Nothobranchius furzeri: one gene and its partners. The protein of the gene in region 2 purifies or fractionates together with the protein of the main gene of each other region. This does not show direct contact. Links are inferred from orthologs where the notes say so. Each region holds a gene or a part of one and is shown on either strand. Other genes may lie near its edges.

Region 1 (7,512 bases), on a different chromosome or scaffold from region 2:
TTCTTCCTTGTTTTAGCTAGTTGGTCTGTTAGCCGACCAGGCTACATAAATATCCCTACCCCCCACTGGTGTGTTTGTGCTAACTTGTTAGCTTCCTGGCTAACTCCTTTTTTAACGTTTGGCCTGCCACTTGTGGAAGTTGTTTAGTTTGATTTTATTTATTTCGGGCTTTTGGTAAATAAATAAAAATCGAGCACATGAGACGAGGCTGTCGAATAAGCTACCCTGTTTCACAGCATTAGAGAAACAGCGACATTAGCTTTCCCCCTCTCCAAACACAACCGTTTGTTTAAATCATTATTTTTTATTACATCTTGGCCGTTTTTAGCACATTTAAAGAGAAGAAAATGTTAAATTCGCTGAAACGCAACTGAAGTGATCGAAACTGAAAACGAGATACTAGACGAACAGCAGAGCTAAGCTGTTGCTGTAAGGAAGGTCAGCTCGGCGAAACATTTAAATATGTTTCCCTTTAAACAAAATGTTTCATGTTTTCCCCCAATCGTGTTTTAAACTCTGCTTTGCGAGCGTTTCATTAAAAAAAACTACATATGAGGTTGATCCATACACGTCACCATACTAACCAGGCCTGTTAAGCACTGGTCACAACCGTTTCTGTAATGCGTGTTTCATTTAAAATCGGACATAAGATTACAATCGCCTGTCTTATTTTCTTGGCTACAACCTCTTTAAACTGGATAGGCATGAAGAACTCGATGTTCTCTTTGACCCATTTGGTATCTCACGTATCATCCGACCTCTCTACACACTGGCTGGCGTCGCTCGATCTCCATTAAAGCTGCACGAATGTAAAATGCATCATGGCTTTAAAAATACATATGTGGAGGATATGAATTGATTTGACCGAGCAGACAGTAGATTCATTTAGACTTTGCAGGACAGAAACGTGCACAAAGCTTTGTCAGAGTGGGAAATTATGCTAAAATCCCATTTTTGCTAGGGGTTGTTCTTTCCCCACATTTGTTTGAGTTGCAGCTTTAGATCCTTATGCAGCTGCCGGAAGCGTGCACTTGTTGACAAGTTGAGCCCTTATTGTTGAAGCAATTTAACAAGTGTACACAATAAATTCATGTTGACAGAGTTGTGTGCTAATGTCTTTTCTAATGCCGCTGGATCATGGGGGCAAATAAATCATAATCACAATTTTTTTTTGGTCAATATTAAACAAACTGTTACTTAACACAATTACTCAATGGTATTTATTGTCAGAGACACCACAAGAAATTAAAACAAGAGCATCACATAATTTCCAGACTGCTACGTTATTCATTATGATCTGTTTTGTGTGCTTCTAATCGAATCAACCGATATGGGTTTTCTGTTGCCGATACCGACATACCACAGCAGATGGCCGATATGTGCTGCCATTTGTTTTACAGATTTTCACTTCTGATGACTAGACGTTTTCTGCCTTATTGCATGCTAAATTAACACTAATTTGAGACTACCTGCTAGCAGTAGCTTAGCTGAGTTTAGCAGAGTTGAAGGAAAGAAGCTGTTTAGGCAGGAAAAGGCATCTGTGTAGCAGTCATACTGACCCAAGGATGTGCCTGTTTTTAAATTGGCTCACTAAAGAGGCAAATTGGGCCAATAGTTACCATTTTTTCTATATCAGCCAATGAAACGGTATTGCAAAAGAACGGTAAAGTCAGCCTGATAAATTGGCTTATCCCTAGTTTCCCTAGAAGTTTTCTGGCCATGTAAAACCTAAAATATTTAGGCTGTTTAGTGGTGAAATAAACAAACATTTCTGAGTGCTTAATAAAACAGAGAAAAGCTGCTGAAGAACCTTGGATGTACAAGCACTGACGGAGGACACAAAAAGTTGTTTTTGTTTCCAAGAATTGTTGATGCTTGGAAATAGAGCCATATGTGGAAATATATCACAAACATATCACAAAACTGCATATTGAGATCGTAATTGAAAATTACTTGAGGCATATTGTTTGATAGGCTTAAAATGTGTGTGTTTATTCTTGTTTTGATTTTTAATTGACCACAACATGCACAAGTTTAGCCATGAGAGGAAGTGTGAGTGAGTGATCTGGCAGGAAAGACCAAATGAAAGCATCCTTGCAAACATTTTTATTGATGATTCATTTGTTGTTGAGTTTTGAATATAAACTGTATTAGTCCTGGTCGTTTTTTAATATTGAATTATTTATAAACAAATAAAGACTCATGAAACACCCATTCATTTCCCTGCATTCACTCCACACACACACCGTCAGCTAGACAACGACCTGTGTGCTGTTTGTTTATTTGAATGCAAATAAGGATTGAGATGATATTGTAAGGCCAGAGTAACGGAGTCCAGCAAATATGAGTACATTTTCATGGGATCTGTTTTGTTTTGATTTTACAAAATGTCTGAATTATAAAATTGTTTACTCTTTTTTTTTTTTTTTTTTTGCAGGCAGACAAACGAGCACATCACAATGCGCTGGAGCGCAAACGGAGGGACCACATCAAGGATAGCTTTCATGGTTTAAGAGATTCTGTGCCTTCATTACAAGGGGAGAAGGTAAGGGGAAGTGAATTCACAGTGTGAAGAAAATAATTATATTATTTGTTAGCAATCTGTAGCTATTTTTCACATTTGATGTGTGATTTCATTTTTTTTTTTTATTATTATTGGGATTGCATGTAGTATCTGAGTAATCCTTTTGTAGACAGAAATCAAAGTTATTTCAGTTTGTAGAATTAGGGAAACATGAGCTCACAGTTGAGAAGTTAAATACTAAAACTCACCCCAGTGAGTGCAGCGACTTACCGGACACTTACCCCAAAATTCCACTACCTCCGCTCCGGCACGAACTCTGCAGCAAAATCGGTCCCGTTGTAGTCAATCAGAGCTGTTCCACTACTGCGGCTGTGCGGCGCAGTGCGCCGCCCACCGTTCCGCCATCCGGCAAAAATAGGATCAATTCTATTTTTGACGGACGCCGGAGCACCTCCGCAGTCGATGGACAGAAATCACAACCGCCCAACAGGAAAGGGTGCAAGCACAGCTTCCATTATTTCACAATAAATCAATAACAAAAAGCGTTTTTTGTTTCATATGCACAGGTTTAACAACTTTTAACAACTATCAATGGCGGCAGAACTTTAAATGCACAAAAATGAGCCATAAATATAGTTTCCACTATCAAAGTAGTCACACTTAGTTGATCCAAACACTGCTGATCTGTCAACACAAATGATGGGCAGATTAAACAGTTCATTTCGATGCTTCTCCCACACAACGGGTGTTTGGATATAACTTCTGCGTTTATTGCTCGGACTGTATCGCAAGATCTCGAAAATCCCGCGCATGCCTGTTTGCCCACCTCAGGTCTCCGCACCGGAGCGGAGCCGTTGTAGAGCGGGTACCAGTAAAAATTGAGTTCGGAAGCGAGCGGCTGCAGAAGGCGGGGGCGGAGCGGAGGTAGTGGAATTTTGGGGTTAGGTGTTGCGTAACGTCTGCTAAGCATAGCACGCAGCTAATAGTCATTGTTATAGTCGATGGGTGTGTTTCCAGCGGCTGCAAAGTGGTGAATTTTGCACACGTCCCAGAAGCATAGTGTTCCGTTGCTCTTCTACGTTCACACCTCGAGTTTATTTTTATGCGCTGTTCTTCCAGATTGCGTCAAGTTCAGTTGTTCAGATTGAGTCGGACAGGAAATCAAACACAGGAGCCGTGTAAAACATCTGGAAACTTTCAAACTAAAAGCCACATGCAGATTTCCCATTGTTTTTCTAGGTAAGAAAAGTATGCCATTAAGTTTGACGCCTCCATAGCTGAAGTAAACAGAACAGCTACTTTAACTGCCAAGATCTTGCAATTCTCCCGAGGCACCATGACCTCGCGGGACCAGCTGTGTGGTACGCTTTCACTGCTGTTTGGCGTCTGAAGAGCTTCCTGTGGGAAGTGACGCATCGCTGAGCTTGCATTTCGCACCCAAGTTAGAAAAAAATCAGTTTAATACATTTTTCATGAAATGATGTCACTTTTGCATCAGATGCTTATTTATGCTGAAGCCTTGTCTTTTTTAAACACACCGCAGTTCATTCCAGTGCAATACTCAACAGTTTGTTTTAAAGCCTCATGTAATGGTAACAAGGTAGAAAACTACACAACATTCCCTTGAACAGACATCCATCTTCCCTGTGATGTTCTGGATTTGCGTGCGTCTCGATGCATTTGTTATATTTTGCATTAAGCAAAACGACTACAAAGTTGTCGCATGGCTCTAAGACATTGTTCTTCCTCAACAGGCTTCACGAGCACAGATATTAGACAAAGCTACAGAGTACATCCAGTTCATGAGGAGAAAAAATCACACCCACCAGCAGGACATTGATGATTTAAAGAAGCAGAACGCACTGCTGGAGCAACAAGGTAATGGGAGCAATCCCTAATCGAACACATTCACACAGTAACTGTAACGTTTTACTACACTTTCTGTTTTCATTGCTGATCCCTTTAAGTTCGTGCACTGGAGAAGGCCAAAGGGAACACTCAACTCCAGACAAACTACTCTTCTGACAGCAGCTTGTACAAAAACCGCAAAGGAAGCGCAGTGTCCGCATTTGACGGCGGGTCCGACTCCACCTCCGAATCGGAGCCAGAGGAGCCGCCCAGCAGAAAGAAGCTGCGTGTGGAGGCCAGTTAAACTCCGGTGCCCCCCAGACTCTTTGCATCCACCAGCTCCAGCATCTCTGACCTGTCTTCTTATGCTCCTAACTTCTTAAATCAGTCCAAGACACAAGAAGGAGACAGTGTGTTAGGTGCTGTTACTGTTTTATTAAAACGCTTCTACCTTGTTGTTTCCTCCTGTTTTTGTGACCCAGCAATGACTTTTATTATCCCCAAAGTGAGGCAGCTCAGCAGTTTTTGAAGGACTTGATGCTTTTGAAACCTTGTGATAACATGTTCATGAAATGACACGTGAGCCTTTAGTAAAGCTACAAAACAACTTTTGCAGTTTGTTGAATTGTGAGATTTTAACACCTTTTATGGAATGATAATTGAAAGAATTAGTGTTTTTAATATTCATATAAAAATGTGAATTTGTTTTCAGTAAACATGCCTGGAATGCAAGGTGTGCCCTCCTTTTTGATGTAGGTGACTGAAGTTTTTGACTTTGAGAACTTACTTGAATCACATAAAATCCCCCTTTTCTCCCCATTATATAGTCTATCCATATGGCTGATCTCTATACTGATTTACAAGAGGATTTTCACAGCTTTTGAATAGTTATTCAGAGTTTATACATGTGGTTATGTTTAAAAAAATCACTTAATTGATACTGAATGTTACACAATGAAGTTATAGGACAGTGACTTTAATTTTTGTTCATGGAAGTCCATTTCAGTGTGTAGTATATAACACTGTATACTCCCCAGTGGTGTCAGTTCTGCAATGAAAAGCCTTCCCTTGAAATATTTGCCTGCGCTGGGAATGTTGATCTTAAAAGTTTAAAAAAAAATGTGTGTATGTAATAAATATTTGTTCCATTCCATGGAAATTACAGGTATGTTGTACATACTGCCAATGGTTGTCTTGCAAGTTAAGGCATACCTTTATTATGAGATTATAAATAAAACTATTTTATCCTTTTTGGATGTATTCATGGCTCAGTGTGTATTTTATTAGTTATTTTTGTCACTCTGAAAATGTGTCAAAATTACATAAATGTTTCAGGAAAAGTTTATGATTCAGCAAAAATGTGTTTGCATTGTTTTTCGTAGTTTGTGCTGGAAAGTTAATTTTGTTTTAGCCTTTTCCCTCTACTTTGGAGATGCTTGCATATCCCAGAGTTGTCTTTTTTCCTTCAAATTATTGTAAAAAATAGCTGCCTGGAAGAACTATATTTGTATCAGGTCAAGTGAATATCCACTTAACCATTAGAAAAATGAAATTTCAAATATTTACTTTCTTGGACTGGTAAAACTTCATTCTTATACATTTTCACTTTTTTTTTTTTTTACATAAAATGTAATATTTGTAGTTGAAATGTTACCATTTCCCCTAAACTGACAGGAAGCAAGTAATTGGTTAAAAGATGCTGATTTCCGTGCTGCCTTTGTATTTATGTGGATTTTGTAAGTTACATAAAAATAGACCCCTTGAAAACTCGTCAACAACTAAGAGTTTGAAATAAGAAAATATATGAGAGTATATCTATAAAAAAATGGAGCAAAAATTGTATGAAGAACATGTTTTATCTTCTTTAACCCACTACTTCAGAGCTTGAAGAGGGATTGTCTGAGGGACAGTGAACGCAGCATCAGATCAGAAGACCTGTCAGAAGCTGAGAAGAAAGTCATGCTCTGTGATATATTTTAGGTTTTGGGGGGTCATGGCGAAGCAGTACGATATTTTATTCCGGCTGCTCATTCTCGGAGACTCTGGGGTCGGAAAGACGTGCATGTTACGCAGGTTCACGGACGGAGAATTTGATCCTTCGCATATTTCTACAATCGGTAAGAAGCCCTCAGGCAAGTTTTAGGCGCCGACTGAACTTTTACGCGTCAGCTGTTAGCAAAAACTGACGTGAAAATGTATATTTGTTTATTTTCCCAACAGTTTAATTAGATGTCCTGTTTAAAATACAATTTTCATTTTCTAAACCTAAAAATGAAATGTGTTTACCACAGGAAAATCCCCGTTTCTGGTCTTTTTTAATGATTATTCCCACAAATCCCACTTATGTGGATTGATGAACACATGAGCACCAGCCCCTTTCCTGTTTCCTGGATCAGTGACTTGGGACGTGGTTAGCTATAATTTGTAGATTTAGTTTTTTTCTTTCAAGAGTTTGTTTTTATCAGCATGGGCACAGTTTAACATGGGACTACAGAACATGAAATAATGATGCCCAATAATTATTTTCTGCTTAGCCCGTTTATTTCTGCTCCAGGAAGCAGGAGACATGCAGAGCATGTGGTGCCAAGCTGTCAGAAGGGCTTTGTGTCTTCCATTAATTACTGAGGAAAAGCTGGAGGCTGCAATTCTTCTTTTGTTCTTCAGGGTAGGCAGAAAATGATCAGCATCTCGGTCCTGATTATTGTTTCTGACTTTATATTATATTATATTATATTATATTATATTATATTATATTATATTATATTACATTATATAAAGAGTTTTAAGAAAGAAGAAACTCAGTAACTCGCAGCACTCGGACTAGCCAGTCGTTCAGGGGTCAGAGCTAATCTCCGTTTCTCTAAACTGAAGCCATTCAAAGGCCTACAGCATGCATGAGTTGTTCATGACCTTTCTGTAGAAAGTTACTTCAGATTTAAAGATGATGTTGTTGTACAGTAATTTTAATAGCTCCACAATCTAAAGCAGCTTCACATCTATTAAATAACTTATTGCTCGATAAAATCTCAGCAGAAATGAAGTTTTTCAGGATTTGCCGTTTTAATGATGAAAAACTGGAACGTTTTTATATTTTCTTCAGCATGATAGGTAGTTTTCATCATTATTCACAAATTTGTATT
Region 2 (7,144 bases):
AATTTGTGCAAAAATGTCTTTAACTTTGTTCATTCTACAGATCTTGAGTTAAAATGTGATTGATGCAGAATTAGCCAAATAGCTTAGGCTCTTCAGAAACATTCTTGGTGAATAAAAATCTGAAATATTACATAATAAAATGTACTATTTACTTATTTGGATCTTCAGAAGAGTGAACTATGCTCCACCTAAAAACAGATAATGGTGTGGTTTATTAAAAAGTCATTAAAAAAATAAAGCTATGATGATCCTGTTCTGAGATGCAGAAGTTTGCTGGTGCAGAAAACAGCAAGATTACTTATTATTAATGATATGCACACACCTCGCTTCTGATTAGCGAAAGTGTTCAGCCATGTTGCAAAGTCACCATCACCAAGACACTAGCCTAATCCCAATACTCGCACTGCGCCCTACAGTCTTCTGTCAAGTGCAATTGGAGGAAGTGTGCAGTAGGGTTTGACTGGTACACAAGCAAATAACTGCCGAATTGGGACAGGGAGCGTTGCGTCATCGACTGCAAAGCATGCCGGGATGCAGGTCGCTGTGCAAATAAAAAAAAACTTTAATAACTTTAAACAAACAATTCTTTGAAATAAATTTACATTCATTACCGATTTGTCTTGAACATTCAGAGCATCAGTTAAACGTCCTAAAATTAACTACTTTTATTTGAAAATGCATTTTTTCAGAAAAGGCACTTGAGCCTTTTCTCCCGCAGCAATGGATTATGGGTAAATACCCTTCACCCAAGTCAGCATCGAAGCAGACTTCAGTGAAGTGTGCATCATTCTGCACTTGAAAATCGGGACACCCTAAACACTCCCACCCCTGGCTGGGATCACACATTTGAAGGGTGCAAGTGTGGAAGTGCGAGTACTGAGCCTTGGCCACTCTCCGCTCTCCTCGCTGCAAAAAAAAGAAAAAACAGCCTTCCTGTGGGCGCCAAGATGGGTGAGGCCATAGATGTGAGGATCTTCAAATCCTAGCACTTCACCATCTATTTTCTAGGAGACTGTTTTAATGTTCAGCCTGTATGAAAATCTCAAAGTGACAGATTAGGTTTTCAGTGAACCACATCTTTAAATATGAAAAATGGGTGGAAGCTCTTCTCATTCACACGACTTTATAATAACTTGTCCAAAGATGAGACTAGTCCTTCATGACCTGCTGATGATGATGTACACAAACCGTAAATACAGACTTATTAAAACAATCTATATTTTTAATTTGCAAACTTATATTAGATTACAGAAAAAGTATTTGGAAGAGTCAGTACATGTGTCTCAGTTTTAAAAGGGCGATCTTTGAAGGGATTACACAAAGACCTATACAACCACACATTTTTGTTACGTCAATAAATCGCGATGGTCTATCTTCACCACTGGCCTCTAAAGGACACTATGAGCTACAATGGTGGTAGGATTTATATGTAATTAACAAAGCTGAATTACCTAGGAGCTTTACCTCGCTTCAGCCGTTTATTTGTAAACACTACCAAAGGCGTCAACAGGGTGGTGATGGGACAGCTTCTCAACTCCAGAATACAAAAAAAAAAAAAAAAACATACTAACAAGATCAGAAAGCAGCTGCCTACGAAACATACGGAAGCCAACCCAACGCAATGGGAATAAGAAACTATTTCAAACCGCCCCAACAGCCATCAGGATCCACGGCGCGCTAACACAGCAGACATTAACGGAACATTTTGATCATAATATCCATCGTGACAGTAAAATAATAACTATTCAAACAAATACACTTTACATTCTCCAACAGCAACAGCTTTTACAGAGAGCGGAGAGTGGGATGGCTTGTTGAAAAAGGATCACAGACGACGGTTCCCGCAGATCGTAGGTGTGGTGCAGGAGCATGTGAGTCAGCGGGGGGGTGGAAACAACAAATAAACAGGAAAATATAAACAAACAACTCCTCTGTTCTTTCAGAATTCATCTACACCCCTGAGAAGACCAGACAGAAACACGAGCGTGGACGGGGGGGGGCTTGGGAAGGAAGCACACACACACTAAAAGGGACCAGATCGCCGCTGTGACTGCTGTTTGGAGGACTGTGCTTGTTGGAGTGGGGACATGTAGCGCGGTTAGTCTTCATCGTCGTTCTCCTCGTATTCATCCTCATCATCGTCGTCCCCCATGTAAGACACCGGGGTCTCCACGCGAGAGCCGCTGTAGTGAGAGTCGTTGGAGCTGGACGCCATGGTGCCGTCGGTGCAGCCGTCACTAGAAACGGAGAAACCGGGTTAAAAAGGGACCAGGTTGAAACGGGAAACGTTCCCATCTTAGGTACGACTTCCTACCTGCTGGCAGTGTAACGAGCGCCGTTGGCTGAGGATCCTCCTGTGATGTACACGTTACTGATGGGACCTTTCGCCATCTCTGTGAGAAGGAACCATATTTAATGTAGACGTCCAATCGTTCCTGAGTGAACACAGACGCTTCACTGTACGTGTCAGAACCTGCAACATGCTGCTTGACATGTTTAGACCTTTCCTAACTATTACTGCAGCTTCGGGACAGAGGGAGGGCTTCCTGCAACCAGAAAAAGCTCCTTTACCCCAGGATTACTGAGGGGAGGAGGTCCCTAAACACATATCAGGCTCTAAAAGAGACAACATCTCAACGTTGTCCTGAAGCATCAACAAAAACCCTGGCCGTTTACACCATGACGTACGAACCGATAACGTAAGGCTCCAGAGCTTTGGGCACCAGGCTGCGTGCCACCTTCAGGTCCTCTGCTGAACACTTCCCCACCTCCAGACCACAGGCCATGCCCATGCGCTTCAGCACCTCGATGTCATCGTGGATCTCAAACATGCTGTCGAAATTGAACAAATACTCGAACCTGGAGACGGAGAAAAAAAGACGCACAATAAATTGGGGCTAAAATTCTCCAGTTCGAATGTACGCAGATGATCACGTACTTGTCATTAGAGATGCTGCAGTCGATCACCGTCTTCTTGCTAGTGTTGACTATTATGAAGGGAAGGTGGATGATGGAGTTAGGAGGCGGGGGCCTGTTTGCTTGCTGCTCTGTCTGTCGGTTCCTCTGAACGAGGTTCTTAAAGGCTATTTGCTGTAAAATATAAAACATTTAATCAGACAAATGCATCTTTAATCGCTGAGGTGTTGGTGAAGCTCTATCGCCATTCCCACCTGAAGTATGAGCTCCTGAAGCTGTGACTGTTTCTGCTTAATCCTCTCCAGTCGCCGTTGTCTCTCCACCTGGAGGCATGACGGAGATAGTTGTTCAGAACGGCTTGTTACGTAAAAAGAAGACAAAAGCCTTTGATTTGAATCTCCACCTCTAAATTTTGGCACTCCTGAGCCGAGTTAGTGGGCAAGCCGATCCACTTGATTTCTTTCTTCTCTTTCGAGATGATGTTCATGGCCATGAGCACGTTCAGCGCATCGTAAACACGCCGCCGAATGTTCTTCTGGTCGTATACGTGCTGGGATGGAAAACACGTGGGTCAGCGTTAAAAAAAAAAAAACGTCTCTGAGTTTTGTGTGTAAAATAAAAGCTGCAGCGCTCACCGAGTCATTCGGCGACATGTGGTTGTCTGAAGAACTGAATTCTGCCACCAGCTCGTCTGCCACCTCATTGTAGGTGGTCACTCCCTTCTTCTGCACCTTCTCACACACTTTCATGGAGAAATGCCTCAAGCCTTTCCCATTCTTCTCCCCCTTCTTACCCCGTTTTCTGTTTACAGAACAAGTTACACATAGTTTGCTTCTAAAACTTGTGTAAAGTAAAAGAAATAAAAACGACTGAACTATTCGAGGTCTTACCCTGATGACCAAGGAGAAGCATCAGCGGGTTGACTCTGAGTGAGGAACTGAGAACTTGGTGTGTGTGGACTGTTTACTAAAATAGTATTTGATACTGTTGGCCTCTGAGGGGTTCCAATAACCTAAAGAGAGCAGAGGATGAGACAGTAAGACAATAACGTGCGTGCAAATACATCTGATGAATGATCAAAGCAACAATTTGTCCCAAATTAATAATAATCTGATGTAGGAGACAGGTGATCTGTAAGCTGATTTCCGTTGTGTATACATTTCTTCTACATAATGAGATGATGGGTGTAATCCTGCTGACTGTAGAGTTGATAAGCTTAGGATCAAGTGCCTCCACCTCCCAGCAGTAATGGGAGGGGGCTTACACAACAGCAAGGAGGTGTGGACAAAAGCAGCATGCAGGACATATGTAACCGTTCTGGAAAAGTGTCAGACAGAGCACACGCACTCACCATGTGTGGCAAATGTTGCATGTGTGTGGCAACATTAACGTTAGACGGCCCAAGGGTTTTGGGTAGTAGCTGCTTGGCCCCGGGGACAGCTGTAGGCTGGACAGTAACCAAGGACAGGACACCTGAGAGAAGACACAAGAACATCGGTAATGAGGAAAACTCCTGGTTGAAACTTCAAAGCCCCATAGTTCACTTTTAATCGGTTCTACCGATATTTTTGCAGGATTGGTGGTCAGTGCAAATAGATTGTGTAAACTGGGAGAAAATAACAAAAACAAAGTCAAAAGATGGTTCAGTTATACCTTTGCTAGGGCTCAGATTCTGATCGATGAAAACCTTCAGCTCTCCATTTGTTTCAATCAAACCAGCCTGTAAAAGACAAAACTCATTATGCTGCAAATATAGAATATTAAAAATAATATAAGATAGTAGTGATGCAATAATGGATGCTTAAGTGTGCATATCTCCTTAAATTACACCAAATGGGTAATTGGATCATTTTGCAATTTGGGTTTATTGTCAAACATTAATGATGGTTTAGAATAATAGGTATGCTAAAACAACAAGAACCATCTCATCTGGCTACAAGATATAATGTGCATATGGATGAAAATATTGAGGGAAATTACTCACATCTTTAGCCATGATCCCAAAGGACCTGAAGGAGTTTAGTTCAGATTAAAAAATTGTTCCTTCTGTCACTCAAGTGTTCAGACCCCTGCAGAAGAAATGAAAGCTGTGAGCAAAAGTTTCAAGCTTCACTTATTTATAACATTTTCCTATAAATCCCCACGGCACAGATGGATTTGAATGAGCTTTTGCACTCATTTATGAACCCAGGCCCATTTCAATGGTTGGCTATGAGCACAGCACACTACACTAAGCTAATTCCATCATCATGTTTACTCCACTTTTTCCTCAGTTAGCAAAACAAACCTGGCGGAAATTACAGCTAATTGTACAAACCGCTGCGTCATTAGCCTTTAGATGTAAACACAAAAAAGCACAGTCAACCCTCACTTGATGCCCACAACTTTTACCAAGCTATGTGTGCACAAGGCCTACTTCAGGTACCGATCACGTCCGGAGGAGAGGCATCGTCCAACTTCTGCTACAGGTCACGAAAACGTGCCAACTTTGACGAAACTGTTGATTTTTCTCCACGGAGATTAAAATATAGTTACAGATAGTAAATCAGTCCACCACAGAAGCAGGTTTCACACCACATGTCAGTAATAATGAACAATCTTTTGTTGACTACAGCCGGCTAACCGTTACTGCTAACAGCCTGCTGCTCCTTAGCTTGCTAGTTAGCTTATGCACGTTTTCACACGATTGGCAGAAAATTCAGAGATTTCTGGTCCGAGCTGCAGATTATAGCCTTCTTTAAGTAAGAACTGATATTGGAAAAAAGCACTGCGCGTTTTGCACGATTAGAGGGGTTTAAATTGCGAATCCGTGCACTTACGAGTGCACTCTCTTGTCTCTTCGACGGCTGTTGTTGTTGGCATTAGAGAATGGAGGAAGAGGAGGTCTAAATCCCATCCAAACAGGAAACAAACTCAGCAATCCTAATGTACTTTTAAAACTATTTTATTCATAAATCAAAGTTATTCCTTTAAAGAACTTAAGCATATGATTAAAGAGTTGTTTTTCCTCAGGTCAGTTTTTTGTCGCTATGTCAAAAACTGATACCAGGATTTGCCTGTTGGTCGAGTCTGGCAGCTGACTAACCATTAAACATCATTCATCTCATCAGAGAAACTGATCACAAAAGCAAGCAAAATGAGCTGTACAACATTTTTGTCATGAATATAATGCACTAACCAGTTTTCAAGTTAAATTAAACCTAACATTTTAAAACTGCATATTATGGTAAATAAACAACAGTATGTTAACAGGTACTACATTTCAATTTAATAAACATACAACATAATGTGTGGATCAAGCCCATAGATTTGATCTACATTTCTTCTAAAAGGAGTTCATATTAAAGTAATTAAGTCAAAGAAGTGAATAAAAAACTATATTGACACCATTAATTCAGGGACCTGGGCCTGCAAAAGGAATCAGTTGAAATAGCAAATTTAATATATAATGTTAATCGGAAATAAACAAGTTATACAAATGTAAAGTAATTTTATATTTTGGGATTCCGCAATTATCTGCTACAACTGATCACATTCTCTTAAACGTTCTCAGTAGTTTTGATCTCATTCATGGGCCTCTTGGTCACAACAACCTAGTAAATCAGAACAAAACAAATCTAATTAATCGATATTTTAGCTTTTTGTGCAAAAAGTACACTTTTGAAAAAGTTAAAAACTTCATTGAAATGTTTCAAGCCAATTAATCACGCTTTAAATTTTTATTTAAATGAATATGTGGCTTAAACAAATAAAATTTGTTTATTTTAATTCGTTACAGTAAAAGAAAGTGAAAGCTCTTTCTACATTCAGATGAGTTACATATTTCAAACTTCATGTCTGCGGACTATTTAAACAAGTCCTGTTGCATATTCTGTTTAGTAAGTTATAACCGTGGTAATAGAAACCATGACAAGATCGTTAAGTAGATCGATGATCAACACTTCGCTAGTTAGCAACTGGTTATCAAAGCTACGAGCTAACTCGATATCAATGAGAAATCGCAACCTCCAGCGCTTTGTTAGCCCACTAGCTAGCCAGCAAGCTAACTACCAGCTGTCATCGAGAAAGTTTACCATTGTTAGCTTCGTGTGATATCAACACTTTTTCATGTCGACCAAGACATAAAGGCCGTTTAAACACTTGTATATGAGCTCTGGTCTGCGCCGGGTGGGAAGCCACCCTACAGTGGATGCATCTTACCAGAGCACTTCACGTTAGCACACCGTCA
Region 3 (8,293 bases), on a different chromosome or scaffold from region 2:
GGATGTGGAACAGCTAGGAGGTAGGAATATGGCCTAAAATCTATATCGTGATAAATTCTGAAGCACATGCGATAACAAATACCGCCATATATTTTCTTCTGTTTATACATGCAACAATGTTTTTGAACAATCTCACGTACCAGATGAATAGCAGAGCAAATAATCCTAAAGAGTACAGAATAAAAATCTGTATAAATAATTATAAACTACATTTAAATTTCATAACTTATTGAAATAAATAAAAATGTTTAGGTTCTTTTTTCAAACTACGCATCAAAAATTATCATAAATTAATAAAGATGAAGATATTTTAAATAAAATACAAGCTAAATGCGAAGAAAACAACATTCTAAATGGTGTGAACTCAAGTGAAAAACGTAAAAACACAAACATTTCTTTCTGATTTCCTGATTCATTTTTCATGTTTTTTGCCCATAGAAGTTATTTTTATATCTTTGGTACGTTCTTGCTGTGTTGCTTTTCTAACTGCATTGTTGCTTCTTTTTTAAAACACAGAAAAGGTTTCTTTTTACCTTGCTGACAGTTTCGTTTGCAGCTGACGCTCTGAGGACGTTTGCCAACACATTCTCACAACCAAAGCGTCAAAATATGACGCGTCTGACCAAGCATCAATATATGACGATTCGGGACGCCCCAGCGCGTCAGGAGACGACGATCAGGGACACGACGATCAGGGACACGTGGCTCCGCTGGCGTCACTGTTTGACGCCCGCGGTCACACGGACATTATTTTAACTTTCCCCTCACCCCAATCCTAACCTTAAGGTCAGTAACTGTGACCTTGATGCGCTAGGGCATCCCGAATCGTCATATATTGAGGCTTGGTCAGGCGCGTCATATTTTGACGCTTTGGGTGTGAGAATATGTTGCGTTTGCAGCCGCGAACGAAACCGTCAGCAAGGTAAAAAGAAAACTTTTCTGTGTTTAAAAAAAAAGAACCAACAGTGCAGTTATTTTTACTTCAGGAGTTTGAATAACTGAATGCTCTGCTGCATTTTTTTTTTTGTCAATATCACAATAATCTAGGAGGTTTATCCAATTTCTTTCGCTTTTGTTAAGCTGCGCTCAGATCAGCTTATCCATGCCGGTCTGACCCACCGTGGTGCGCACCAGCTCAGAGCGGAGACTAGATCTATCTTACCAACGCAGGCGTGGGGAACCCTGGTCCTCGAGGGCCGGTGTCCTGCATGTCTTTGCTCCAGCTGGATAGCGGCCCTCGATGGACCCGGGTTCCCCATCCCTGACCCAAAGGGACAAACAGCTAAAATTAGGGAGGACTGTGGGTGAAAATCACAGGAGATGTCAACAAAGCCTTAAGTGTTCATCATGTCAAAAAACAAACGGCATTTAAGAGATTTGGCGTTAACGAGCTTTTAACGCTGATAAGACTTCACTCTCACCTGGCATATTTTACTGACCAGGTGCGTGTAACCGACATTACTCAGAGTTGTTTACGAGCACGTTTCATCCACGCGTGACGGTGGCACAGGAGTTAGGTGCTCGCCCCGTAACCGGAAGGTTGCAGGTTTGAGCTGTCAGTCTGACGCTGACGTTGTGTCCTTGGGCAAGACACTTAACCCCCACTGCCTGCTGGTGGTGGTCGGAGGGACCGGTGGCGCCTGTGCTCGGCAGCCTCGCCTGTCATTTGCCCCCAGGGCAGCTGTGGCTACATCATAGCTCATCCTCACCGGTGTGAATGTGTGTGTGTGAATGATAGTGATGTAAAGCGCCTTGGGGGGTTCCAGGATGCTAGAAGGCGCTATATCAAATACCATAGAGCTGACACAGATTGACAACGTTAACGCTAAAGTGGGTGAAGCTCTAAACTGTCTCGCTCCTCGCCAGCAAGCGCGACCGGTTGGCCCGTAGTAAAAAGTTCAACATCCGTCTATACCGCAATAACCGTCCTCAACGTGGTCTTTCACCTGTGGTCTTCTAGAGCAGAAACTGAGCTTGCAAAAACAAGTGAGTGGGTGCAAGCACATCAGAGCAAATCCCAAAATTCACAAATCTCCACTTTGGTGGGAGTTTTTTTTTTTTTATCGCGTTTGGTTGTGTTCATCTTCACTTTTGTGTGGACAATGGGCCAAAACGTAGAAAAGTACCTTTGTTTGGCGAGACACCCAGCTACGCGTGTACAGGGTCTACCCTGTAGCTGAAACCCTGGGATAAAATTAACAGATGTGTGCGTTAAAGCGCCCACAGGAGGTCCAGCAAAACCAGAAATGCTGTTTGGAGGGCGCATCGCTTTTGATCTGGTTTATTAAATAAATGGAAAATTACTGATTAGTTGAGTTTTCACAATCCCCTAAACAGCCACAACAACCTCTATAGTGACAAATAGCTCCAAGTGCCCGAGCCTTACTTCTTGGCGTCTTTATCCGTGTCCCGTTGGCTGCTGCTCCTCTTCCTCGTGGAGTTTTGGCTGGTTCTGGCTGGTACTGGTGGTCCGAATCATCAAGAGCCAACCGCCTTTTTGCCTTATAAGAAGCACACCAACAGGAATTTACTCATAGTTTTAATACTGACAGTGGTCTCTAGTAGGAACGCTGATGCTTAAGCTTGGTTTATACTTGACGCATTCACTTTCCGCGCGGTGATGCGGCTCGCGGATGGAACGCGTTTCACAACTCGCAGCGTTTATGGTTTGTGCGGCTTGTCTCTGTGGTGAGCCAATATTCTCCCAAACTGTAGGGGGCAGCATGGAGCTCTACGGCATGCATCCAACACTACACCATAGTAGAAGTAGAAATTACTGTTTACAACATGGCATTTCAGCATTTTTAACAGCGTCCTCGTCTTTTCCGACAGTGCGAGCTATTTCTCTCCAAGAATTATTAACTACATGTTGATCACGGTGATCTCGGAGAGCTGAATCATACAAATGTCTGTATTTACGAACCTCTGCCATACTAGTTCTTGCCGGTCCGCCATGTTTTTCCGCATCCGTCCGTCCGCGTGGTTAGAAATTTTCCGAGGTGCGCGTTGCGGAAATTCTGGGCCGTGCGGAGGCGCTGTGGAAGGCCGTGGTTGTTAAAATGACGCAACTTTTCCGCGCAGAGCCGTGCGGACCTCGCGGATGCGTCAAGCATAAACCAACCTTTAATCTCCACAAATAACTCAAGCCTGGAGGAGTTCTGCTGCGTGGTGGAGCAACTAATGGTTAGCTTCTACTAATTGAGACGTTCTATGCCGTTTCCTGGACGCTAAACCAACAGCCTTCCCCGTCGTGAGTAAAGGTGGGCGAGTCCATGAATGTTAACTCTTAAATGTAAAGTTAAATATCCCAAACATGGACTGTGCCTTCTACAGACATGTTAAGCTTTATAGGAGGTTTTCCATATGGTCAAGTGATGTCATCTATGTATGAATGACAAAGTATTATTCGGAATTCATCTTTCTTCTTTAAGTGGATCAAAATGGTAAAAAAAAAAAAGCAATCCAGGTTATTGCCACATAGCAGGAACTAAACCTGCAGCATTCAACTCTTAAAGTGGCCCAATGGCAGAAGTATTCACATTCCCCAGCAGGATCAGCTTTGTAATATCTGCCCTCTTCCACTTCATCTTCACATGCAGCTGGGCTGCAGAGGAGCCCTTTCTCCTGCACGTCTCCCACATCTGATCCCAATTAAATTCATAACCTTAGAATGAAGGTGTGCTGCTACTGCAACAACCCACACAGTTGTGTCTTAAAGCAACCACGTGCAATCAGAGTGAAATAAATCTGTTGGTATGCAGTCACAAATCATTTTGCCTTCAGAAAACATCAACATCTCCTCACATTAACATTTTAGTCATATTTAGCAGAAGACTGGGAGGAGGGAGAGCCAGTGTCAGCCATTTTCTCTCAGCAGGCAGATCCCCTCACCCCCTCTCTGCTGGCCATGGCCACAGCCTGACACAAACTGGTTTAGTTCATAAAAGAAAGAATCACATGCAGCTCGAACCTTAATGCACAATGTGGTTTGTGCATGTAGAGAACACAGGAAACGTGCAATCACCTCCAGAGCAAGCACCTTGAGTTTCACTTTAGTTGGCAGAGAAACGTGACTTTATAAACAAAGAGAAGCACGTAAAGCAGCGACAACTCTGCAGAACATAAACCTGGATGGGTTTAGTTGCTCCACATTAGTAAGCCTTAGATGCTAAAACACTTTTACGCTAGATGCAAGTTGCATCTTCAGGGACGACTTGATCCACCGAGAACTTTCTGAACTGAGGAGAAGTTGCATCTACGCACAAACCCGTGTTTTATGCAGGCTCGGCTCTCATCTCGCTAGAAAGCCTAAAAACGAGCCATTAAAGGGGGCAGGCGAGGGAACAACCCCACCAACCCCAAATAAAGAACATCAGCTACTAGGCCAACGCTAACGTTACTCATCCCTTACCGATATTTCCATCTGGCTGCAAAGGTGAAGCGAACCTTAAAGCACCACGAAGTTGCCTAGCTCGCTAGTAAACGGGACGTCTGTATGTCTATAACGCTTAAATTACACTTTAACCAGTTCGCTGCCTTCCCCGCAGTTAACTACCCGGGTAACCAACCCATTTTAGTCAGCTTCAGTGGGTTGAGTCGTGTGGGAATGCCCTGGCTAAGTAGCTAGCGTTAGCAGCCCGAACAACAAGCTCGGCTAACTTAGCAGGCTAACATGTTGTCGGACTAAATGTGTGAATTATTGCCGTGTGGGTTTTTACCGGAGGTCTTCCCAGAGCGGGTCGCTGTCCTGTTCCGTTTGCTGCAGCTTGTTGGGGAGTTGAGTAAATGTTACTGAGCTGAGGCTCGGATAAACACACATTTGATGTCTGTGTAACGTTACAAGGCGGTGGTGTGGTTATTATCTGAATATACGTAGTACTGGATTGACCGGGGTTTAAACGATCCGAGAGGGCTGTTAAAATGATGTTATTGTCCAGAGAAGAGCCCCCGACGCCCGCTAAAATCACTTTGTCCGGAGCCGAGGAGATCCCTCTTCTCATCTTGCGTTCTCGGGGTAACCCCTTTCTTGTCTCTGAACTTTCGAGGCTTCGTGGCTGCTAATCCGTCGTCGTGACTACAACAATAATCAGACTGAAGTGAAGATTAAAGTCTGAATGATCGGCTTTTAAAAGGTATTTTTCATTAAGAAAGTGCATTTAGGCAGATGCAACGGATTTAAAAGTAGCGCAACTCTCGTATCTGCCGTCTAGAAATGGCTTCAGGAAACGGCCTGATGAATGAAGGGATACGGTTTACGCGCTCAAGAGCCCTCCCGCGAAACTCAGATTTCCCGGGGAAATTTCAAACGGAATATACATGTTAGACGCTATTGGGTCTTCAAACATGAGCCCCCGCCCTTAGTTGATGCGTACTGACCAATGGCAGATCAGGAAACAGTTCGACACGTGCTCATTGGCAGTTGTAAACAGGCAACGTCACTCTTCACAGGCTGCGTGTTTCCGGAAAGAACGCCAGGTGGCGGAAGTTATCAAGTTATAGAGAAAAATGCAACTAAAAGCCTTCATGAACAGCAAAAAACAAAATTATTCCAGGTGACAAAGGTTTAATAAATGCTGTTTCACTGAAATCTTAACTGCTTTCACTGAAGATTAGTTAAGAAGAAATTCGACATATATGATAATTAAATCATTTCAGATTAATCAATGAAGCAGGAAACAAATATACTAATAAACTAACGAAAGACCGAACTACTTCATGATTTGGTTCAATTCAAAACAGAACAAATACTGTATAAGTAAGACACAACCAGCTCCCCCTACAAATAATGACATCGTGGAAAAGATGGAGGGCACGACCCAAGAGCCTAAATGAATAGTAAAACACAGCTTTCTGAACAACATTAAAACGCTGGTGTGTCTCAGTGGCAGGTATGAAAATGTCAAATGGTCTAAGACAATAGTTGTTACCCTCCTTATGTCATTGAAGCTGTAAAAGCTCCTAGTTTTTTATAATCATTTTGTGAATTTTAGGGATTAACATAGAACTGTTCAACCAAACTTACAATAGTTAGTAGAAACACTTCCTGTAAATTCGTTCAAAAATAAAATGTGTGTTGCCGTTAGCAACAGGGTCTTTTTACGCTTTTCATTTAGCTAAAAAACTGTTAAAACATATTCATGTATTAGTGTTAAACACAACTGTTGTGTGCAGTGGTGAACAGGAACAACGGGAGCATTGGGATTGGGATATATGTATGTCGATGATTGGGACGCAAAGTTAAAGCAATCCTTTATGTCTGGATTTCGAGATTAAGAATTTTCCGCCCTCTAGCGGACGTAAACCGTCACTACAGGTATTGTTCATAAAGCTAAACAAAACATTAGACATTAACACTTCTTGTAGATTCCTTCAAAATAAAACGTATCATTAAAAATTACTACACTTTTCAAATTTGCGTTAACAGCATAGTTCGTCTAAATAACGGGGAAGACAGAACGTCATCACTTATACAAACTACGTACCTACTAAAACTAAAATCTTTTCAACAAGATCAAATCGAGGAGCTAAAGCAGAAACTATTAGGAGCTAGCTACCAGCACAACAAACATATCAGATCATACGCCTTCTGGCGGCCACAGGGCGACACTACATCCACGACAGAGGGATTTTACTTTTAATAAATAAAATAAAATTAATAGGTAATATAACTTTAATATATTTAGTTAAACGAAAAACTAACAGTTTTATATCTGATATGTTTGATCAGAAACTATAAAACGTATGCTGGTAAAGTTATTGGTAAAGACCAATAAAAACCCAACGGCATCTAATAAACAGAAATTGATACAGATTTTTTTAAAATTTATTTTTAAAGGTCCGTATTTTGTAATGAACAGGAAAAGCACTAATTTGTTTGGATTTCACAATAAATGTGTAAACATCAACTAACTAAAATTAAACCAAATACAACAAAAGGACAAAATTGAAAAAGCCAGACGTGAAGAAAAGTGTTTACTTTTTAAAAAACAAACTTTTAATTTAAATACTTGTGTTCAAGTTTAAATTTTTTTTTTGATTGATAGCCACATATTGAGCCTATAGAGTTCCTGGGATCACGTGACTAGGATGGAAACAGGAGAAATCTGGTTTTGGAGATGGGTTTCTTACCCTCTAGTGGACAAAGCTGTTACTACAGGGAATGTTCATCAAGCTAAACAAAACACTACTCATTATCACTTCCTGTTGAATCTTTCAAAATAAAACATAACATCTAAAATACATTGGGGCTTCAGTTAATGTTAACAGCGTAGTTAGTCTAAATAACAAACAAACCAGAATGGTTTCAATTATACAAACTACTTAACTACTAAAACTCAATAAATCTATGTTAATTATCTGTGTTCAACAAGATTAAATCAGTGAGCTAAAACAGGAGCTATTAGCAGCTAGCTAACATCACCACAAACATATCAGACCATACCCCCTCTGGTGGCAACAAGGCGCAACTACATCCACAGTTAGAGGGATTTTACTCTTAATTAAATTAATAATAGGTAATGCAAAATGAATATGGTCATTTACATTTTAGCCAGCATAGGTTAATAGCGTCTATTCAAGCATGTCAGTCAAAAATATAAGTTCAAACACCAATACATACCCAATTATATCTAATAAACACACTTAGACATTAATGCAGATGCTGATTTTAAGCAAAATGTCCTTTTTTAACAGAAAAAGCATGAATGTTTTTTGATTCCACAATGAATTTATAAAATACTGAAACAAATATGATAAAAACAAATGCAAAAAAATAAAATTTTGTTAAAAAAGTCCACTGAAATACAGACTAAATGATCTCAACAGCTGAATTTTTCTTTTGATGAAATTTTTTAATCAGATAAATGAAAATTTTCAATTATTTGAATTAAATGATGTGGTTTAAAGGGCAAAATTGATGTAAAATGTAATTGCTTGATTTTAAAATAACAAAATGAAGTAGAAGAAACACAGTTTCCAAATCACTCTCAAATAAAGCTTTAATAACCTTCCATTCGATTATGTATTTATGTTAGAGCAGTCTAACATAAATATGGACAACTTTTAACTCTTAATTTAATCTTAGAAATATGTTCTGCAAGAATTGGCCACCTAGATGCTATAAGCTTAGTAATTTAAAAGACATAATGTGGCATAGATGTTCTGTAGTGAAAATAAATCCCAAATTTAAGTACATAACATAGACTGTACATACGTACATAAAAAATATAACAATAATTAATTAACAATGTATTTTTTTCATGGCAATTTCACCTCTGAAAAATGAAATCTGCCT
Region 4 (8,447 bases), on a different chromosome or scaffold from region 2:
CGTCCTTTCGACTCAATCCTTGACACCCCCCCCCCCCCCCCACACACACACACACACACACACACACACACTAGATAAGCACCAACAGAGACCCATTCTGTGAAAGCACGAGCCCAAAGAGCCGAGTTGGTGAAGGTTTGAGCAACTGACTTCTGAAAGGCTACACCACGTGTGGACGCGCCTCTTCCTGAGAGTGAAGCCACACATTGTCCAAACGTGTCCTGTGACATGTCCACCTGTTGACTGGGGACATCTGGAGCAGTTTGGCAAGTGTGTGTGTGCTGTTGGTGGAGGGTGGATTTGAATATCACACACACAGCCACAATCCTCTACAAAGGGAAAAGAAAATGGATTGTACATTAAGCCCCTGTCCCTACTCCTGCGTTTATGCGAAAACATTGTTTTATAACTATTATTCAGACGTTATGTTTTATATAAAAATGTATATTGACCATCATGATACCAATAATCATTGACAACTAAAAATGTAGAAAATCTATTTGAAGTGCAGCTCTGGCCATTTTCTCTCATCATTTATGATAAAACAGGTAGTTTTACCAGACCTGGTGGTTGGTTTTTATCAGACTCGTCTCAGCATTAGCGAGCTGATGAACTACTGTAAACTTTTTCCCACCACCTGTCCTCTGTGCTACATCTGGTTTTAGTCACATGAAGGCCCAATCTCAATACTCACACTTCCACCCTCGCACCCTTTCAATTGCACGGTCCCGTCCAGGGGCGTGAGTGCGTAGGGTGTCCCGATTCTCAAGTGCAAAATTTGACCACGCCCATTTTGCACCCTTGATCCGCACTTCACCCAAGTTCACATCAATGTGGATTTTGGTGAAGGGTATTACCCACAATCCACTGCTGCGGGAGCAAAGGCTCAAGCACCCATTTCTGAATATATGTATTTTCAACTGAAAGCAGTTCATCTTTGGACGATTAACTGATGCTTCGAATGTTTTAGACAAAGATTCAATGTGCACAGAAGTGAATGTCCATTTTGTCAAATAATTGTTTGGTTTTTTTGTTTGAAAGTTGTTAGAAAGATTTTTTTTCTAAAGTAGCACAGCGACCTGCGTTGCGGTCAATGACGCAGTGCTTCCTGTCCCAGTTCGGCAATACTTTGCACACTTGTGTACTTTGTACTTGAAGCCTTACTACGCACCTCCTCCTAGTGTGCTTTGCTGAAGACCATAGGGCACAGTGCAAGTATTGGGATTGGGCCTTAGTTTGTTTAGGTTAGAGAGGGGTGGGCTTAGGGTCTGGCTCTGTGACTTTGATTGGTCAGGAGTAAGTAATGACTCTAGTATTAATCTACCCCATAGGGTATAATGACAAAAAAAGGTTATTCACTCATTATTTTTCTCTTGCACCACACATCTGTTAATAGCTAACCACTTCAACATTCTTCCTCTCCTGACAAATGTGCTACTACTAGTTTACTTGTTTAATTATGGATTTACTGGGATAGATACAATAAAGTTCATCTCTCACTAAATAGAATATTTACTAAGAAATCACAATGTGACCATAGACACATTACTTGGTATGTGTGTGTGTGTGTGTGTGTGTGTGTGTGTGTGTGTGTGTGTGTGTGTGTGTGTGTGTGTGTGTGTGTGTGCTCGGTCTTCTCCATCCCCAGTGAGTCATGGTGGATGGCTGCTTATACTGAGCCAGGATTCTCTGGAGGTTTCTTCCTGTTAAAAGGGAGTTTTCCTCTCCGCTTTCGCTACATGCTTGCTTAGTATGACACTAGTCAGTGACTTGATGCAATTTGCTGGGTTCCTTATATAGGAAACTTTTTTCTGATTGGCTTAATGAACTGACCTGTACCGGAATGTTTACTGTGTGAAGTACCTTGAGACGACTCTTGTCGTGATTTGGCGATTATATACAACAAGCATTGCACATTCCTGTGTTCTGGAGGTGTGGCTTAGGGGAAAGGGGTTGGACCTTTGGAATGTTTATTTTCAAAATGTAGCTTGCTTGAACAGCAAAAAAATTAATAAAACAACATCTATCCCACCTTTAATTATCTCTAATCAAATGTCAAATGTCTGAACCGTGTCTTTAAAACTGCATAGCCATCAGAACCAAGTCAACATATTTAGAACATCTGGAGGCGCACACGCGTGGTGAGAAGGCAACCAACCATTTCACCCTGCAGCTATACTGCTTAGTAGGCCTAGACCAATATATCGGGCTGATATTTACAGTTTTTTTAAACATGTCCTTTAAACTCGTCCTTTGTAGAGCCGATTTAAAGTTAGGCCCATTCTTGGGCACCCCGGTGCTGCTGCAGAATTTCATTTCAACGTATTTTAACGTCCACTAATAACATTTGCATAATAAATACTCTACATTAACTATTTAGCTGTCTGACTTTAACACTGACCAGTGCACAAAGTGAAGGTTTAACAGTTAGTTCAAAAACGGATTCTGCTTCAGAAATTGTGTGCATCAACTGATGTTATTAGTGACATTTTAGCATGAAAATCAACCCAAATCTGCAGTAGATATGACTCCACCGGTGTGTCTCTCACACACTCACGCACACACACACGTCTGATCAAGCCAACAAACCCAACCGGTCAGACCAGGACAAGTTACAGGATGCCTACGGAGATCTACCTCACCCTCAACGGCAGCTTAAACATAAAGGTGCTACTTTGTTGATGGTCAATATGGCTCCTCTATGAGGAAGGGCGGGTCTGTGTTTGGGTTGCTGATAGGAGGGTGGGGGGTGGGGGGATTTGAAATGCAAAACTCCCTCTTGAGCAGAACGCAGCCCGGCTTAAGGGAGTGGTGGGTGAAACAAGCAGAATGATTGAAGACTGCATACAGTTGGTCGTCTCACCTCGTTCTAGGGAGGCGATTTGTCTTTACAAGATGTAAAAATAAACTTGATGTCAATTTTTACACATTTTGTATGAGATTTACATAACAAATAAAAAGGAAAATCATTTCTGGCTTTTATTGTAGAGAGGAACCAATGTTTGGCTCCAGAGAATTTAAGTCAGTCTGATCCCAAACATTCATTAATTTCAGGGAAGATCTGGAATTCCAACAGTCTACAAACCCTCACAAGCTCATGGACGATGCTCAGTCAGTCTGGATTACACATAAAGGAGCATATTTAGGAGTCTTCAGCATCTGCCTGCTGGTCTGGCCTGTTTTTGAAGGTTTTTAGGTGGACTTTGCTTGTCAAAACGCCACAAAAAGAAGTGGTGGTTGTTACTCTTGAGGGAAGTGAGATGCATTTGAACAGGAACGCTTCCTGTAATCATTGAAGCCTAACTGAGCATGCAAGAAAGCTGCCGAGTCAGCGAGACTGTAAAGACAACCAGTCTCTTCCAAAGAATCGATGAACTGAACGCTTTCCTGCAGCCGTGTTCAAAAACACAAGTAAGATGTGATTTTTGTTTCTGCAAACCTTTTGAGGTGTGTTTTAATGCATCAATAAATACTTTCTGCATCCATGTGAGGGAAGATACTGGAAATAAAAACTGAACTATTAGTCATGCAGTTGCATTCTTTTACAAAGTGAACAAGTTGGACGTGTTTCGGCCCACGATTCCCTACCCATAACAGAATATCCATCAAGATTTTCTTCCCCGAAATACGGGTTCACTCCATTCATGTGAATCCGGGACGTCCAGAACTTTAAAAAAAATGTGCAAACACTGCTAAGAGATGCAAAAATCCCTAACACACATCCAGGCTGGTCTGGCACAGTTCACCTTAGCATACGATGAGCCAGGTGGTAGTCTATTGCACTGTCTTTTTAATCCTCTTGAGGGGCCAATTAGTGGTCACAGTGTCACCGTCAACATGAGATCAGAAGACCCCGCTCACACTCGATAAACAAGCCTGAAAGATTTACACCAGCAAAATAGAAGAAAAGCAAAGTGTGGTTGTGTCTTCTATAGTCATCAATTATAGGAATCTTTGCTTTGACCTTTGACCCCTTTAGCAAGATCTGCAGCTTAAGCAAAGGTGCAGATGCTCAAAAGTGGGATTGCATCAATAAACACTAGATTTTGCACACGGACCCCTACACTTTAACATGTTGCCTCCCTCTTAAAACCCATCAAAGGCATGCTGGCCTCCAGAGGGGAAACAAAGATGTGTCGTCACATTTTTTTTTATTTTACAGGAGAAACAGAAGCCCTCCATTCAGTTCCACTAGCTGCTGCTGCAGTCACACTGGCCGCTCTGTTGGCTTATCATATATGAATGCTAAGTCTAATTGTTATTCCTCCCACACGCACACAGCTCCCTGAACACAACAGATCGCTTATTAAACCGTGTGTAAAACACTGTTCTGCAGGGTGTGTTTGATTATGTACCGGCAGCCGCCCGGAGGATGATCTGATGGGCTTCGCCTCGGGTCCGTGGGGGGTTGAGTACAGGCTGTTGGCTCTTTGTTCCGCCGCGGCGGTGTTACAGATCTGGGTGAAGTAGCCGGCTGGTATGATGGAGCTCATCGGTGGGCTGGACAGTCCGGTGCAGAAGAAGTCCGACTTGGACAAAACCTTCAGCTTCTGCTGCTGCTGAGAGCAGGAGAGTCCCGCTGGTGGGGCTGGAGAGACGCCTTTAGGCATCCGCATCATGTTCCCGAGTAAAACTAAACGTGACCCGGGCTGGTCCGGTTAGGAGAGACGGGAGCTGCGAGCAGAGCACAGAGATGAGTTGTTGTGCTACTAAGCTAGCTGCTACGTCAGAACAATAACAAGTACGAGCTGTTAAAATAACCTTAAAAATGCACGTCAGTAGCTTCTAATAAACACGTCTTTTAATAATAGTCATCAATTTAGTCATTTATCCTGCCATAAAGTATACTGAAAAGGTGCCTTACCGGTTATAAATAAATAACGCTTCCTATATAGGTAAAGTATTTAAAACATCCGGTGTAAGGAAGAGCAGATATTTCTCCGAGTGTCTTCAGGATCGGGTTTGGAACAGAGACTCCGTCTGGAGCAGAACACGACCCAGTTCGAGACCGCTGTCCGTCCGCTTCACGGCTCCTCTCTCCATACAAGGGAACAAGAGCTGGGGAACAGCAGTCTTTTTTAGCGCCAAACTCCGTCCCGCGAAATTTGGATCTCCCGCGGTTAGAGCTCGCCTCTGATTGGCTACCGGCACGTTCGGCTTGTCACATTTGCATGGAACAGTTGTGCAGAGCAGGGGCTGGTGCTCTTAAAGAGACAGGACCGTCAGTGCGACAAGAGGGGTTTCTGGTGAGGATGAACTTGAAGACAAAGAGAAATCAAAATATCGTGTCCTGTTCAAATGTATTAATATAAAAAACACATTTTTACATCATTTTCTTATTGCAATAAAAGAATTTCAAACATATAGGCTGATTTATTGAACAAAAGTTGTATTTATCATTTCAACATTTGCTTTAAATGCATGATGCATGGATGAACTCAGAAAGAAAGCATTTATAAATGCTAAGAAAGCACTTATAACATTTAGCTTAAGATTAATATACATATTTAATAATAACCTATATCCAGTCATACACTCATTAAGAAAAAAGTTGCTTTTTAGTGCAGTTTGTTACTCATAATAAAAGTAATGTACAAAAAGGGGGATTTAAAGGTAAAAAAGTTTATACTTAAAAAAACACATGGAAATTTAGTTTTATTATTTCTTATATGATGAGAGTATAGTATGGCCAGCTATAAGGTGCTGCTGTGAGTCTGTCAGTGATAACTGGATTCACCCAGGACCACTCTTGCTTATTGGTTGCAAGAGATATTGAAAGAAAACACTCCCTCCCCCACATTCACAGCCAGACAATCCAAGCCATATGACTTGACCCTCATTGGACAAGACAAAGTAGACTCTTAGTCCTTTGTCATCACTTCATCTGGGCTAAATTCCAAACAAGGGTCATTTCTAAAACTTTGATGGGGTCTTTATAAATGAATTGTGTATTTAAAAAAAAAAATGAGACCACTTTGACTTGAAATCGTCAACAAGTGAAAGTGGAAAAATTGTAGCTGACATGGTGTTGAAAAATATTGACAGCTTTGTAACATATAACCATAAAAATTGGTACAAAAATACGTAGGAGCGGGTCTACGGCCCGATCCCAATACTCACATTTCCACCCTTGCATCCTTCAATTGTGTGTTCCAGTCCAGGGGCATGAGGCATAGGGTGTCCCGATCCTCAAGTGCGGAAGTTGATCATGCCCCTTTTGCACCCTTGATCCGCACTTTCCCTAAGTGCGCATCAATGCTGAGTGGGAATGTTGAGAAGAAGGCTGAACAATGGAACAAAGTGCCTTTTCTGAAAATTTGAATTTTCAAACAAAAGTTCATTTTAAGACAATTAATATTTATTTATGCTCTGAAAATTTTAGACTAAGATTTAATGTGAACAACAATGAATGTAAATTTTGTCAATTGTTTGTTTGAAAGTTAGAACCCAACCCCTTTTGAATTAGAAAAAAGACTGGAATAAATACATTAAAAAAATTAAATAAAATAAACATGTAAAAAATATTTTAATACATGTATGGATAGAATGTCACTTGGGGTTTTCAAACTTGAATATTTGACTCAAGAAGCAATTTTGCAGATGTTTGAAATTGGTTGTGACACCATGGGTCCTTATGGATTAATAAAGATTTTTTTTTTAAAGTAGCAATACCTGCCACTGGCATCCCTGCATGCCTCATGGTCGATGATGCAATGGTCGCTGTCCCAATTTGGCAATTATTTGCACACCTGTGTACTACACACTCAAAGACTTACTGTGCACTTCTTCCTAGTGCACTTTGCTGAAGACCGCAGGGTGCAGTGGGAAGTTTGGAATTGGGTCTAAGTCTCTGGGTGACGCCATGTTGTACGCCATGTTTCCTGTGACAGGAGGAGCCAGTGAGGACAAAATCCGTCAGTAAGGTCTTACTCAAACACAAAAATACAGCATGCTTGCAATGATTTATGTACGTACTGCCACCCATCACCAGAGAAAATTCACATTGTCACTTTAAAGGTATAGCGGAGGATGTTTCTGAATTTCAGGCAAGAACCGCCCACTCCTCATTTTGGGAAAAAAAAATGCACATGAGAAAGAAAGCCCAGTTATCCTCGTTATAAGTAGCTGCCGGCCTTGCAGCCAACTTCTTCTAGCAGTAAACTGAAATGAATTTCTCCAAATATTATGCTGAACTTCAGCTTACCTGTCGAGCAGAAAACCTTCGACCGAGGCCTCTGTGGGGATCCCAACCTTCGCTTTGCGCAGGAAGAGAAAACTACCCGGCAACGTATGACGACGGCCTTGCATGAATGATTCACCAGAATGATTGACAGTTAAGCGGACTAATGGTTCAGGTGATCCACCCGGAAGAAAAAGATCCTTTGGTATACTTTTAAATGAGCCCTGTTTTTGCAGTTGGCTGGCAAATGAATTTTCATAATTTGATCCAAAATCTTCTCCATCCCTCTTTTCTATCACAAGCAGCTTTTTGCAGTTTCCATTTCAATTTCTACGTTTCCCAAGTATCAGCCATACACAACGTGACATTTACATGCAGCAATGTAAGTGAAATTACCAGAATTGGCGTGTAGCTGATGCTAATGCTAGCTTGTTATATTAGGTCAGATTACAGCACAAATTTGATAACTGCAACTTCCAAAAGCGTTTGTAAGTGTTCTGGTGAAATGTCGATTATATGTTTTCAAATTTATCTTAAGCATGTTGTATTATTTTGCCACATGCTACTGTGTTAGCTGGGTGATAGCATGGGGCAGTGCGTTATCCCAGGTTTGTCTTCTATTGTCCTCTTGCATATTATACATCAGGCCCTGCTTTTTCTGATTTTGAGGAAAAACCCAAAATGTGCTTTACATGTGGACTCTCTCTGAACATGTTGAAAAAGTCAAATGGTTGTACACCACATTTGCAAGTCTTAGTCCAAGTTCAAGTCCTAACTTTGTACACTGACTTGAGTATCACAATAGGATTTGAAGGTAGACGCTGTTGAGAGAAAATTGATATTTGATTATCTAAATAATATTTTCAAATGTTTTGGTCACTAATTCATCAAAGATTGAAAGTGCTGCACATATACTCCACTGATATTTCACTTATAGGCATGAATGCTGTTTTTCCTGCATTACTTCAAACCAACTTTCAAAGCATCGTGTGTGAAGTGTGTTTGCAATCCCTGCATGTCAGTGAAGCACATTTTGTTGCATCCAGATCCAACACCCCCATCTTGTGGTGAGTTGAGAATTTGATGATTTTACACCTTATACTGTAAGTGTCTTAACTTTGTTTTTCTCTAATTTGATTTATTTGCGCACTTTTTTGTTTTTGATCATGAAACCATGCAGACAGTACGATTAAACAAAAGAAAAATGGATGATTAACAAATATGAATTCAATACATTTTTCAAAAATCTGCAGTTTATTTATTTTTA

What was found.
Region 1: the proteins of tfdp1a (region 2) and protein max purify together in Homo sapiens (affinity purification with mass spectrometry; 5 studies listed by BioGRID and IntAct, with this or other methods). This does not show direct contact. The link is inferred for Nothobranchius furzeri from reciprocal best matches to the Homo sapiens genes TFDP1 and MAX.
Region 3: the proteins of tfdp1a (region 2) and transcription factor E2F3 purify together in Homo sapiens (affinity purification with mass spectrometry; 3 studies listed by BioGRID and IntAct, with this or other methods). This does not show direct contact. The link is inferred for Nothobranchius furzeri from reciprocal best matches to the Homo sapiens genes TFDP1 and E2F3.
Region 4: the proteins of tfdp1a (region 2) and e2f2 purify together in Homo sapiens (affinity purification with mass spectrometry; 3 studies listed by BioGRID and IntAct, with this or other methods). This does not show direct contact. The link is inferred for Nothobranchius furzeri from reciprocal best matches to the Homo sapiens genes TFDP1 and E2F2.

Annotation. Positions count from the first base shown.
Region 1 is NC_091758.1:33,253,683-33,261,194, reverse strand, and holds the end of protein max, read left to right. Parts: intron 1-2,437; coding exon 2,438-2,545; intron 2,546-4,278; coding exon 4,279-4,402; intron 4,403-4,491; coding exon 4,492-4,676; 3' UTR 4,677-5,632; downstream 5,633-7,512. Other genes in the region: ras-related protein Rab-15, read left to right, coding at 6,366-6,504. UniProt on the Homo sapiens protein: Transcription regulator. Forms a sequence-specific DNA-binding protein complex with MYC or MAD which recognizes the core sequence 5'-CAC[GA]TG-3'. The MYC:MAX complex is a transcriptional activator, whereas the MAD:MAX complex is a repressor.
Region 2 is NC_091754.1:25,781,038-25,788,181, reverse strand, and holds the end of tfdp1a (transcription factor Dp-1), read right to left. Parts: 5' UTR 7,117-7,144; intron 5,861-7,116; exon of another isoform or gene 5,736-5,860; intron 5,455-5,735; exon of another isoform or gene 5,308-5,454; intron 4,986-5,307; 5' UTR 4,913-4,985; coding exon 4,901-4,912; intron 4,637-4,900; coding exon 4,570-4,636; intron 4,390-4,569; coding exon 4,268-4,389; intron 3,929-4,267; coding exon 3,807-3,928; intron 3,718-3,806; coding exon 3,552-3,717; intron 3,467-3,551; coding exon 3,320-3,466; intron 3,240-3,319; coding exon 3,171-3,239; intron 3,091-3,170; coding exon 2,939-3,090; intron 2,860-2,938; coding exon 2,693-2,859; intron 2,394-2,692; coding exon 2,315-2,393; intron 2,238-2,314; coding exon 2,099-2,237; 3' UTR 1,887-2,098; downstream 1-1,886. UniProt on the Homo sapiens protein: Can stimulate E2F-dependent transcription.
Region 3 is NC_091745.1:42,332,226-42,340,518, reverse strand, and holds the start of transcription factor E2F3, read right to left. Parts: upstream 5,197-8,293; 5' UTR 5,001-5,196; coding exon 4,719-5,000; intron 4,607-4,718; exon of another isoform or gene 4,424-4,606; coding exon of another isoform or gene 4,412-4,423; intron 2,502-4,411; coding exon 2,387-2,501; intron 1-2,386.
Region 4 is NC_091758.1:28,056,568-28,065,014, reverse strand, and holds the start of e2f2 (transcription factor E2F2), read right to left. Parts: upstream 5,114-8,447; 5' UTR 4,865-5,113; intron 4,675-4,864; 5' UTR 4,620-4,674; coding exon 4,356-4,619; intron 1-4,355. UniProt on the Homo sapiens protein: Transcription activator that binds DNA cooperatively with DP proteins through the E2 recognition site, 5'-TTTC[CG]CGC-3' found in the promoter region of a number of genes whose products are involved in cell cycle regulation or in DNA replication.